Saccharomyces cerevisiae S288C: one gene and its partners. The gene in region 1 interacts genetically with each later gene. Each region holds a gene or a part of one and is shown on either strand. Other genes may lie near its edges.

Region 1 (3,859 bases):
TTTGCTCAGTACTTGAGCCCCATGCGTTTACATGATTTCAAAAGATATGGAGCTGAAGCCTTTTGTCTTGGCCGAGGATATGGCACCTTTTATATGACCGTATGGAAGACGTAGAGTGGATGAAAATTTTGTGAAAAAAAAAAGCTTATAGGAACAAAAACATCCTTACATCTTCGGGTATTTCTTCTAGGGTTGAAGTATAATAATTAACTATACTATTGTTCGGAGACAGTTCTGATGCCTAGTAAAACGCTTGCAGCTCTAAAAAAATTTGTCTTATTTTTTTCTTCTTCAATGAGCTGTTACCATTGCTGTAAGAGATGCTCGAAAGGTAGTACCTTCAGTGAATTATCTGACGTACATCACGTGAACTGTTTTGCGTAGTAAATTGTTCAACGATAATATATCGTTGTTAGTGATCAAAAAGTAACTATGCAAACTGCAAATGTCAAAAAGCCACAGTTTCTAAAAGAAAAGCAATGAATGAAGAAGGTTTGGGGTTGTAAATGTTAATGCAGCGACGTCTGTTTTTTTGTTATGACAGGAAGTCAGGAGGTAGTCACAGTCTCGTATTAAGCAAAAGTGGTCTGTTTAGGTGGCATAATAGCCTTGTTGCAGCACTACTTGCTACCGAGGCGCAGCCTTACAACTAAAATGTCCAGACATGATCTTAAGCGGAAGGGAGGGGTTTTTGCTTCCGTTTTTTTGACATTAAAAGTTTTCTTAATGCCGCGCGTTTGAAAGGAAACTGATCTGAAAGTGATTTATGATGCCAAAAAAAAAAAAAAATCTTTTGAAGTACAATGTATGTATGCATGAGTTTATAAAAAATGATGTAAAGTGCGGAATAGTAGTACTGCTAATGAGAAAAACACGGGTATACCGTCAATTATTGTCCCTTTTTCAAATGTGTTCTATAGTGTTGCAAGCAATTATCATGTCGACTGAATCGCTGCGTGCATCCCTTATACGGACAACAATGATTTTTTTCGCCCGTATGAATTCTATTATGCCTTGCTAAATGACCCGATGTAGTGAATCCTCTTGCGCAAATTTTGCAAATGTATTTGCGCCTTTGTTCAAGGTCTTCCTCATCTGATAACGTATTTCTTGGATCTGTTCTTTGCTTCCGCGTTTTCAGAGAGTATCTACTATTTGCCATCTTATTATATGCATCATTAGAAACTATTCCGTTCTCAGGCTGTTGTATTATTGATGAATTACAAGTTAGTTGTGATAGCGAGCTTTTTTCGGATGAATCTGAATTATATTGTACCGATGAATTGTCAAAAGAGACGCTTCTTGTTTGTAAATTAGGCGTTATTAAGTATTTTGGCTCCCACTTTTCAGAGCCATTTTCTGATTTGGTTTGGTATCGGAAATCAAAAGCAGTCTTATTTAATTTGTGTTTTAGTTCATTCTCTACCACATGAGAATTAGTTAGAACTGGTAGTAGCGTCTGATATTTTCTTTCCGGGCTTATTTCAACGTTTTCTTCATCTTGCATTCCATCAAATGCGGAGATTCCCGGCAGTGCGGGCATAGTAGAAACATTGAGGTTACTATAGTTATATGGGTAAAACATTGCCTGAAAGTTTGCGAAGGGTAGTAATATGCTGGTCGAGAGGAACAATCCAAGAAAGGTGAATGGTAGAAAAAGGCGCCGTAATGGTAGGAATTACAGTACAATAATACTTTGCAGAATCGTATACGATATGATTTTTACTTTCAAAAGCTGCAGAATTCCCTTATAGCATCAAAAAACTGTAAACGAGGTGGAGTAATATAATTTCTTTTAGTTAAGAGATGGGAACCAAATTTTTTTTAATTTGGGTTTGGAAAGTTCTCTTCCTTATATATGAATAACGGAAAAGGAGCCTGCAGCCAGACTGTAGAAAGATGACACTGCCAAGAGAATAATTAAAAGAAAAAACACCCCAAACACCCTGACCGGCGGCGAAGCCCCTCTGCGCGCTCAACGCGTTTCGTTTCACGCTTAAGGGTCCTCAAGAGGCCATAGTCTTTTACCGATAAGAAAAATCTAGACCCAATGAATTTTTCCCTTCTTTTCCGGTGCGGCCTTTTCACTGCTAAACAGTAAAAAGCATTTCTTGGCTTTCCCTGAGGGTGTTGACCGCAACCAAGCCAATACTTCATTTTGCTTTTTCCTCTTTTAGAAAACAGAGTTTTCCCTGTCTCAAACGTTTCAAAGACAAATATGCGGAAAATCAACTTATAAGTAGAAAAATACTAGCGATTTTTCTAGTTAGAATATTTAGGGGAACTATGCGAAGACAAACGGTGAAGTCAAAAGAAACACACTGCCTCGATTAGAAAGGCTTATCTGCCACAGTTTAATTTTTTTTTAATTTTATTTCTTTTTTTTTTATTTAACTAGAATCTGGCTAAAAATAAGCAACGGTCCGTGTAGATTACTGTTTCGAACGAGGAACAACTGAAGGAAAAGTTTTTTATTTTCCGCGAAGTTCGTATATTTTAGTTTTCTTTTACTCCAAGGGTTCGTGACGTCGAATTCCTATCAGCTTTTTTTTGCGCTTGGCGTTCTAGGTCCCTGTGCCCGTCTGAAACTATTCGTACATAGCATTACTAGAGTACATAATATCGTCTACCATACATACGACGGGTAGCCAGATTTTGTGCCGGATTGTCGGGGAAAAGACGGCAAATGAGCTCATACGTAATGGTGCGATTTTGATTCTTAGCTTTCTATTTCTGGAGAAAAGTACTCCAAGGTGGGGAAGGGGGGAGGCTGGGACTAGTTGTTATATGATGTAGCCTAAATGTAACGAGGCGTGGCTCTTTCATCTTATCTCAATGAATAAGTGTAAATTGCCTCGCCTGGTTTAATCTTTTCTCCACATGCAGTAATAGGTATAAAAGGAGTTGAAATTAAAAATAATAATAAATAATGATATAAAAATTATAAGTTTCTCCTTTCGGAACTAAAAAATAATATTAATAATAATATATAAATATTATATCTTTTTTATAATATAACATAGATACGAGTTTTTATGTTCCTTTGGCAATAGCTTTTCGTGACTTGTTTTAAATACAAGGCATATAGGCGCAGCTTCACCAAGATATTCTGGCTTAAACCAGCACTATGTATATTTTGGTGTTTGATACCGATATCGGCAGCTCGAAGCGTTTTTATGAACTGTAAAAATATGTCCTACATAGTTGTTTGGTAATTTTTTGGTTTTTTAAGATTGTTTTATGAATAGGTGTTTTACCAGAAGGCTATCGCCAGGTAACTCTTTTAACTAAATCGAAAAGATTTATTTGACGTGTCATATTGTAAAAACTAAATGGAAGACAGAAACTAACTTTGTCGACACCTATTTTAAACAAGTATCAAACGCGGGCTATAATTTTTATGAGAGCAATCAATGCAATGGAGTCTATTTCCGGTTAAATGGCACGATTGTGCGTAAAAACACGAGAAAGTGGAAGCATCTTTTTCTTAATGACGGATAATTACCCGAAACAGTGCAACTGCAAGTGCATACTCTTGAAGGACTTACATATTGAGAGGGAACACATTACTACCTTTCAAGAACACTCGCATTTACGGCGTACATATGGTTCCGCGGTAGACCCTAGGTTGAATTGAAAACCATGTTTTGAAGGAAAGCAAAGGCAGAATGAGAACATGGAGATGTAAATATTTTCCCAGTTAGGCATGACCCAAAATCGCAATCCAGATGCAATTTATTATGACACGTAGACCTTTCCGTATCTAACGTAATAAACGATATCTATTTTCGAGGCGCTCGACATCTCGTATCTGGGACAGAAAGTGAGGTAGATTATTCAAGAATACCTATTAAGAAAG
Region 2 (4,339 bases), on another chromosome or scaffold:
TTTTACTTGTGGCGGGTGAATTTTTACTATTCGTTTGACGCTGAGGTTTAATTCTAAGTTTAGACCATTTGTTCAACTCTAGGTGGAACATATATAGGTCGTTATAGAAAACGGACTCTAAGGATTCCTCTGTCTCTTGTAAATCGTAGACACCACCAAAAGCAACGGACTTGTTTTGCTTCCATAGATTGAACGAATACCCGACTCTTGGTGAGGGCTGGTTCTTGAAATTCTTTAATTTTTCCCACTGCCACTTCTTTGGATCAGGCGTTAAGTTCAGTTTCCATGCATCATTCAAGATTTTTCCCTTCATTAAATTTTTATTATTTTTGGCAATGATTTTACAGTAACCACCCATTAATATGGCAGAATTATCTGTAGGAATGAAACAATGACCCGATCTAGCGTCAGGTTTGCTGTTTGTCTCCAATTTGGTCCATTTGTAGGTTGAGATATCAAAACACCACAAATCATTTAGGTAAGAAGTTTGACCATTCCCCAAATCTCTAAATCCACCAAATAATATGAAATAGTTTTTCCAAGCAATAATTCTATGACCTGATCTGGCGCTGGGTGAAGAGTCTCTACCGCCAAACTCCAACTTAGTGAATTTCCTTTCAACGCAGTCAAACAGCCATGTATCAGAATAGTGGTAGAATTTAGATTGTTTTGGGGACGAAAATTCACCACCGTGTAACAGTGCTATTCCGGAAGGATGCACAGCGACAGCGGCACTGGATCTGGGCAAAGGTGCATTTTGCGAAACGTATTTTTTCCAAGAGTTGTTCTTTATGGAGTATGAATACAAATCATTATAGAAATGTGTTAGTTTGGTTTCTGGATCTGTAAATTCACCACCGAAAATGAACAATTCATGTTTATTGTGTTGCGGATTTGCAAACATCAACGGATGAGTACGACAAGAGGGTTTTTCCACAGAAGTGATGTCTACATGCTCTAATTCAATTTGCTTTTTGCTAAAGCTAGAGAGAATTTCATCGAGATCTTGATCACTTTCATCATCTTCTTCGCCGTTTAAAGACTTATTCTTGTTCTTCTGAAACTTTTTCTCCTGCTTTTTTTGGTTTTTCTGATTCTTCAGTTCAGCACGTGCCTTTTTGGCCTCTTTATCCTTCTTATTCTTCTTTGCCATTAATCACTTCTACGAGTCTAGTAGATCTCTTCTCCTTCCTATAAGTGGTTAATGTATTCTTCGAGAAGCTCATCATTTTTTTTTTTCATTTTTTTTTTTTTTTTCAGTTTTCTACAATTTCATCAAATCAATGGTTAAACCGGGCAGAAAAACTACCAAGCGTTACTTTTACTGATGTTAGTACTACTACCGCAGTTATTGCGACTACTACATTAACTATAACTATACAAGAAAAAAAGTAAAGAGGGCTCGTAAAGCAAAGCTTGGTATCTCCTACATAGTCAATACATAGTAGTGAGTCGCCTATAGCCATTCTGTAATGCCATTTGTTAAGACGTGTCCTTAAACCCTTCCGAATCGCCGCGGGCGACATCATAATGTCAGTACCTAATAATGGTTATTATTCGTACCCTGTGGTTAGAGAGCTATGGAAGCTAGCAGTAAATGTCTCTAGTTCTTGCTATCACTACCATATTGGAGAGGCTTCAGGCCCCTCCCCTGAGCCGATCCTCGGAATGACTACCCCGATTCCCGGAATGGGCGTTCGATGATTGGCTCTTTCCTGTAAAGCCTTTTTGCGTTTCTTATAGGCTATATATAATCTTCATCACTGTTGTAGACGTTAAACAAGCATCCAACAGGAGGCCGGACCGAACACACGGGGGAGTGACTCTAGCTCTTTCTTCTGGGATATTCATATCGTTTCTCCATTACATACAGTCATTTTTTTGCATTTTTAAATTCGTGACTTTTAGTACTGCAGCTGTTTTTTTTCTCACGTCAAGAAATTCCATAAAGTCTAACTATTAAACGGATAAGAGATACAATCATGTTGAGATTTACCAATTGTAGTTGCAAGACTTTCGTAAAATCGTCATATAAGCTTAATATAAGAAGAATGAACTCCTCGTTCAGAACTGAAACCGATGCATTTGGTGAGATACACGTGCCTGCTGATAAGTACTGGGGTGCCCAAACTCAAAGATCCTTTCAAAACTTCAAGATTGGTGGCGCTCGTGAAAGAATGCCATTGCCTTTGGTGCATGCATTTGGTGTTTTGAAGAAATCTGCCGCGATTGTGAATGAGTCTCTGGGGGGATTGGATCCCAAGATCTCCAAGGCTATTCAACAGGCCGCTGACGAAGTGGCTTCTGGTAAGCTAGACGACCACTTTCCATTGGTTGTTTTCCAAACGGGTTCCGGTACCCAGTCTAACATGAATGCTAATGAAGTTATTTCCAATCGTGCCATTGAGATCCTAGGAGGCAAGATTGGATCTAAACAAGTCCATCCAAACAATCATTGCAACCAATCTCAATCATCCAATGATACTTTCCCCACTGTCATGCATATCGCTGCCAGTTTGCAAATTCAAAACGAGTTGATACCTGAGTTGACCAATTTAAAGAACGCCCTTGAAGCCAAATCCAAGGAATTTGACCATATTGTGAAGATCGGTAGAACACACTTGCAAGATGCCACGCCTTTGACACTAGGTCAAGAGTTTTCCGGTTACGTGCAACAAGTTGAGAACGGTATCCAAAGAGTGGCACATTCTTTGAAAACATTGAGTTTCCTGGCACAAGGTGGTACTGCCGTTGGTACAGGGTTGAACACCAAGCCCGGATTCGATGTCAAGATAGCCGAGCAAATTTCCAAAGAAACTGGACTAAAGTTTCAAACCGCCCCTAATAAGTTCGAGGCTTTGGCTGCTCACGACGCCATTGTCGAATGTAGCGGTGCTCTAAACACCCTTGCTTGTTCTCTTTTCAAAATAGCGCAAGATATAAGATACTTAGGGTCCGGGCCACGTTGCGGCTACCATGAACTAATGCTGCCAGAGAATGAACCAGGTTCCTCAATCATGCCTGGTAAAGTTAACCCAACCCAAAACGAGGCATTGACTCAAGTGTGTGTGCAAGTCATGGGTAACAATGCAGCTATCACGTTTGCCGGCTCTCAAGGTCAATTCGAGTTAAATGTCTTCAAGCCAGTCATGATCGCCAATCTATTGAATTCGATCAGGTTAATTACTGATGCCGCATATTCATTTAGAGTGCACTGTGTTGAAGGTATCAAAGCCAATGAGCCTCGTATTCATGAGTTGTTGACTAAATCTTTAATGTTAGTCACCGCTTTGAACCCTAAGATCGGTTATGATGCCGCTTCCAAGGTCGCCAAGAATGCTCATAAGAAGGGCATTACCTTGAAGGAAAGTGCATTGGAATTGGGTGTATTGACTGAAAAGGAATTTGATGAATGGGTTGTTCCTGAACACATGCTAGGTCCTAAATAAACGAGCTAAATACCTAATAATATACAAGTTTTTTATGTCTTATTATATGAAGGAAAATAAGGAAGTGGAGAGAATTTGTGATTCAGCAATGGTCCCTCCGCTAAGGTCCCGCCTCTGGCCAGTTATGTCAGAAGAGGAGCATAGGCATACATTCCATTTTTGATGGCTTAATGGGGCCCATAAATTTACATCACTACATTATTATTCCTATACAAGTTATAATAAAATAGTTCATAAATGAATATTTTGCGTCATTTTTTAATTTCTTGTCGTCGGGTAAGGGACCTAGTATTACCCGCATCACGGAAAGGGGAATTTTCAGAAATGATAACGAATAAGAGAGTACACCAGAAGAGCAAATCTCTTTAAGAAGTTTAGCAGCAAATATCGGTTTAAAAACAAACAAAAGCAAAGGAAAAGAACTACTAAATCTTCGAGGACTTTCCCAATTTTTAAAACGCTGAAATTGTATTAGAAGAGAATAACTGTCTAAAAAGAGCATGTTTGCATCCGCTGGACAACAACACCCTCAAATTGTTCCTAAGGAAGAGGAATCCATATTAAACTACCTCCTTGAAGTGAGATCCTCCTTGGCTAAACTCAAGCAAAATAGGACCCAGTATTTGAACTCTAAGGATGTCCAAACTACTTACCAACACGTCTTGACCAAAGTCAGAGAGTTGGACGATATTAGGAAGAATAGTCATGAGACGCCCGCTAAGAGCGCCGCCACCCTGATTCATAGTACTGAATTGCATAATAGAGTTGACTCCGTACTGGATGATGTCTTTCAATTGCTCTCGTTGTGTTTTTTAACTGTTGGGCTAAAAAATTCTGCACCTGCGACTTATGCATCGTTATCTACTGTGGAGAGTCTTTTGGAACATTTA
Region 3 (4,987 bases), 810 kb from region 1:
ATCGTACGGATATTCGGTTTTTCAGATGAGGGAAAAAATGGAATATCTTTACCAAGATCAGTATGCATTTCCTTGTTATTTTTATTAATGCTTTTATTGTTATTATTTTCTTCTTCATCAGACATTTCGAACATATCCTCGGTAATTTCGTCCGATATACTTTTGTTCGATTCGTTTGTAGAATTCGATTTATTGCTATCGCCAAATAAATCCTCATCCTCATCCTCACCAAACAATTCCTTGTCTACCATAGAGTCACTTTTATCACTTGGCAGATTTTCGTTCTGTTCTCGTTGTTCCAGTGTTCCCTCTTTATTATGAAGTGTGTCTACGCTTCCTGTCTTGCTCACGGAATTATTTACCTTTTCGAGTGATCTACCATTTGCCTCCAGTTCCGTTTTCAGTGGGCTGTTCTCTAAGTCATTTGATACTGTAGTTTGTTTCCTATCATTAAATAATTCATTCTCATTGATGTTATTATTAGGGGTATTTAAGAAAGCTGGAGCAAATTGATCGCTGGGCGACAGCATTAATTTATCAATGCCTGTGAAATTAGGGGAGAAATCTTTCGGAGATATCTTATTAGTTTCTTGGACAGAATGATAAGAAGCGGGTTGAGAACTAATTGAGTTGTTCTTATAATGTTGAAACTGTTCTGTATATGCTCCATCTGAGCTTAAGGGATTTGTACCAGCAATATTACTGCTCAATACGCCGGAACTTCCTGGAGTCCTATAGGCAGCTGTTTGCTTTAATTGTATGAAATCATCAATGGCATCCAGAGCATCTTGCAAACAGTGAAATTCTGATGGATCTCCGGAAGTAGAATTTTCTATATCAGCTACTGGTTGGGCGAAGATTAAATGCAGCGGCCATACTAGCTTCTTTGCTTCAAGTAAGGGAGTTAAATACGAAGCTATAGTAGGTGTGTGGCCGTTGAGATGTCCTAAGTCAGGAACAACAGCAACCCATTTCAAATTTTTTTTATTTTGTAAGTTTATACCATGAGATACACTTAACGTCGTCAAGAGAAGTTCTGTATGTTTTGGTGGCGTTATCAAGTATCCTTGCTTGGAAGCAGGGGCCAAATGCATCCTTATTCCAGATGGTGCTAAATAAAGCGCATGCTTTGAAAGGAAAGATTCTTCCAAATTTTCCTCCTTCATTGGTACTAATCCCATGTTCTTGGCACATAACGACACTGTGAGATCTCCGTTTACAAAAAGGTGTGGTTCTAGCTGTACGAGATAATTTGGCACTCCGCTTAATGATATGCAGGCATTCCCAAATTGTATTAGCTTATTGTGTGAACCTAATGCCAAATTAATGTAAATTTTCCTTCTTAAAGCTTTTAAAAAAAGAGCATAGTGTGGCGGTAAGTTTGGCTTTGAATAATCGGCAGTGAAAGTTCCGATTTTATCTGGGCTCACTGGTTTATGTTCTATCGCAGGAGGTGTCGGTACCGGATCATCATTTATACTGAAACACCATAAATCCCTTGAAAGCAGCGCAACTAGAGTCTTTGGATCCTGCTTCCGTAGCATGAATTCCATTTGGATAGACCATTGATCGTTTTGGGCTTTAGAAATGTACTGATGATAGTTGATCTTTTTGATTTTCTCCACTCTATAGAAGCTGGATAAAACATCCTCAAGTCTGTACGTGGAAGCGTCAGAACTCATACTACCTCCTCAGATCTTGATATCCAGCTTAAACGTTCTTAAAATATAGTTACACCTTACTTCAACAAAGTAATTTCCGATTTCACACCATTCGTCTTAAAGGGTTGTTGTAAGAGTGTACTACAATAAATACTACACTACTTGATCCGGCACTACCCGGTCCCTCCACCTGAAAAAATGTTTCAATTCTTCGCTTTGTTAAGCGCGAATATATCGATGCTATTTTCTAAGGATTGTTTATTCAGTATGATAAAACAATGAACAGCAGGAAATGCGGAGGAGAATCACTTACTCGGCTGTTATTCATCTTCTTATTATAAAAGAATTGCTCCATTTTGGTTCGATCCCTTAATGCCTTACAAAATCAACCGAATGAAAAATTCGCTCGAGATAAATGAAACCGGAGGTACCTTATTGGTTGATGAGCGGAAGAGATTAAGAATAGGTGAGTTATATCGCTACAAGTTTTCCGTGAACAAAGATGTAATTAAGGAACAAGGGCTAGATGTATCGCATCTATTCTTGAGGATCAAGAACGAGGAAAGCGCGCTTCTGCGACCGCTTTATTTGACGGGGCCATATTCTTTTTACATCGATGTTAGGCCGCATAACTATAATGAGAATCGCAAGTTTCCAGGGAAGGAAATTATTCCATTTGTTGAAAATCTAAAGCCGGACGAAAGATTTAAAGTAAAAATATTATTGAATGAGAATTCTAGAGTTGGCGACACTTCTCTTTATTCATGGACAATAGATATAATTTCGCAGTTGGCGGTAACCACAATTCCGAAGCTGGAATTTTCGTTTAGGATAGGGACTACAAGGAAGGTGGTCAAGAAATCGAATGGGCTCTTTAAGAGTATTGAAGGTGTCTCTTTAGAGATGTGGGATACTGAAACCCTTTGGGATTTACCACCAAAATTTCCAGAAAAGCCTGTACATCTCGTTATTATGACACATGGTATATTTTCTAATATCGGGTGTGATATGCTATATATGAAAGATAAAATTGAAGAAATGACGTTTCCTATGGATGAGTCTATTAATCCGAATATAATTGTTCGAGGTTTTATGGGCAACGTCGGGAAATCAGGTCACGGTATACATTGCTTGGGCGTTAGAGTTGGAAAGTATGTGCTTGAGACTGTTGATAAGTTGAATAAAAAGTACAAAGTAGACAGGATATCATTCATTGGCCATTCCCTAGGAGGGCCAACTCAATCCATGGCGGTGCGTTACATAAGTATTAAAAGACCAGATTTTTTTGATGCAGTTAAAGGTGTTAAACCCGTTAATTTTATTACGTTAGCTAGTCCTTTCATCGGTGTTATTGGCGACTTCCCCTTTTATTTGTCTGTTCCACTGGATATGGGCGCGCTTGGTTTGACAGGAAGGGACTTGAATTTAAAATATACACCGTTAACGTCCAAAGATGGGTTGTATGCAGACGATGAAGTGTACCCAGAACATTCCAAGTACATATTAGAAATTCTTCCACAGGCGCCGGCTAAAAAAGTATTTGAGTCTTTTAAGAGGAGAACGATATATGCCAATGTCATGGATGATGGTATTGTTCCATTACGAACTGCTGCACTTTTGTATCTGGATTGGCGAAGCATACACAAAGTCCAGAAAATTAGGAAAAAAAATAAGAACTCTCCAACTTCAAGCGAGTTTGTGTCCTCCGATAGCCCAGAGAGTAGTGGAGCATCATCACCTTCAAACGAAAATGGTAACAACGTCGGGGAGATTCCTGCAGAAAGTCCAAACAAAAAAGCGACGTTGCAGTGGACTTTACCTCAGGCCGTTATCCACGGAAGTAAAATAAATAAATATAAGAGAGGACAAACTAATGAAGCCAACTCAGATTCGGATAATGAACAAGGAGTATTTCTTGATGGTCAAAAGTTCGAACCTCCAAAAGAAGCCAATACTGTATTGTCTGCATTATCGGTATTGACAGCTGCCATACCAGATCAGGAGTATATCAAAAACCCGGCTGTAAGGAAAGATGAAGTCATTCATGATAAACTTTATCACCCGGAAGAATTACCTCCGCCGCATTATGAGAATAGGCCTATCGTTAAGAAGCTTATATATCCTAATGAGAGTGTCAACAGGATTCAAGAGCGCATTGCTAGAGAATGGCAAGAAACGATGACTTGGAGAAAAGTATTAGTGCAGATCCAGCCTGATTCCCATAACAATATCGTAGTAAGAAGAAGATTTGTTAATTTATACGGCTATGTTGCTGTGGAACACATGGTTGAGCACCATTTCGGATCCAAGGTTTGTAGCGAGCTGGCTGAAGATGCAAATGAGCCAAAAGATGAGCCAAACCAGTCATCGCAAGCGGACCGGTCGAATGAGTATAACGAGGGGGAAATATCAAAGGGCGCGGAGAATGCCACATGAGTTTGATGATTTATAATGTATACGTAAAAAAAAATATCATAGATGAAATAAAAGTTTCTTAAGAATATCACAATGACCACAATAAAGTGTGGATGTTGTTTAAAAAAAAGATAGCCCTGTAGGGGGCTCGAACCCCTAACCTTATGATTAAGAGTCATACGCGCTACCGATTGCGCCAACAAGGCTATTTCGTTGGAAAAACTAATTAATTTTGGAAGTAATAGGACATTAAACATGTTTGTTGCAATGAAACTTTAAAATATCATCTGTTTAGTTTTATTCATGTTACTTGTTGGAATAAAAATCAACTATCATCTACTAACTAGTATTTACGTTACTAGTATATTATCATATACGGTGTTAGAAGATGACGCAAATGATGAGAAATAGTCATCTAAATTAGTGGAAGCTGAAACGCAAGGATTGATAATGTAATAGGATCAATGAATATTAACATATAAAACGATGATAATAATATTTATAGAATTGTGTAGAATTGCAGATTCCCTTTTATGGATTCCTAAATCCTCGAGGAGAACTTCTAGTATATCTACATACCTAATATTATAGCCTTAATCACAATGGAATCCCAACAATTACATCAAAATCCACATTCTCTACATTACTAGTATATTATCATATGCGGTTTAAGAAAATGGTATAAAGATTAAGAAACAGTCATGAAAATTTAGTGAAGCTGAAATGCCAGTATTGATAATACGATAGAATAATGAATGACAAAGTATATAAGGAAGATGAAGTAACATTATTATGGAGAACTATCGACTCCCTTTTGTGAATTTCTATATCCTCAAGGAGAATTGCTTGTATACTATGTATATATAATATTATAACCCTTGACAACAATGGAATAATTAGTCCTTAAACGT

Evidence for each region.
Region 2: mutations in NRG1 (region 1) and FUM1 together harm fitness more than expected from each alone (negative genetic interaction), as found in Saccharomyces cerevisiae (2 studies listed by BioGRID).
Region 3: mutations in NRG1 (region 1) and YDR444W together harm fitness more than expected from each alone (negative genetic interaction), as found in Saccharomyces cerevisiae (2 studies listed by BioGRID).

What each region holds. Positions count from the first base shown.
Region 1 is NC_001136.10:541,785-545,643, forward strand, and holds NRG1 (transcriptional regulator NRG1), read right to left. Parts: upstream 1,586-3,859; coding exon 890-1,585; downstream 1-889. UniProt on the Saccharomyces cerevisiae protein: Transcriptional repressor involved in regulation of glucose repression. Binds to UAS-1 in the STA1 promoter.
Region 2 is NC_001148.4:45,354-49,692, forward strand, and holds FUM1 (fumarase FUM1), read left to right. Parts: upstream 1-1,982; coding exon 1,983-3,449; downstream 3,450-4,339. Other genes in the region: KEL3 (Kel3p), read right to left, coding at 1-1,153; YPL261C (uncharacterized protein), read right to left, coding at 3,643-3,951; CUB1 (Cub1p), read left to right, coding at 3,950-4,339. UniProt on the Saccharomyces cerevisiae protein: Catalyzes the reversible stereospecific interconversion of fumarate to L-malate.
Region 3 is NC_001136.10:1,348,257-1,353,243, forward strand, and holds YDR444W (putative hydrolase), read left to right. Parts: upstream 1-2,033; coding exon 2,034-4,097; downstream 4,098-4,987. Other genes in the region: SSN2 (Ssn2p), read right to left, coding at 1-1,682.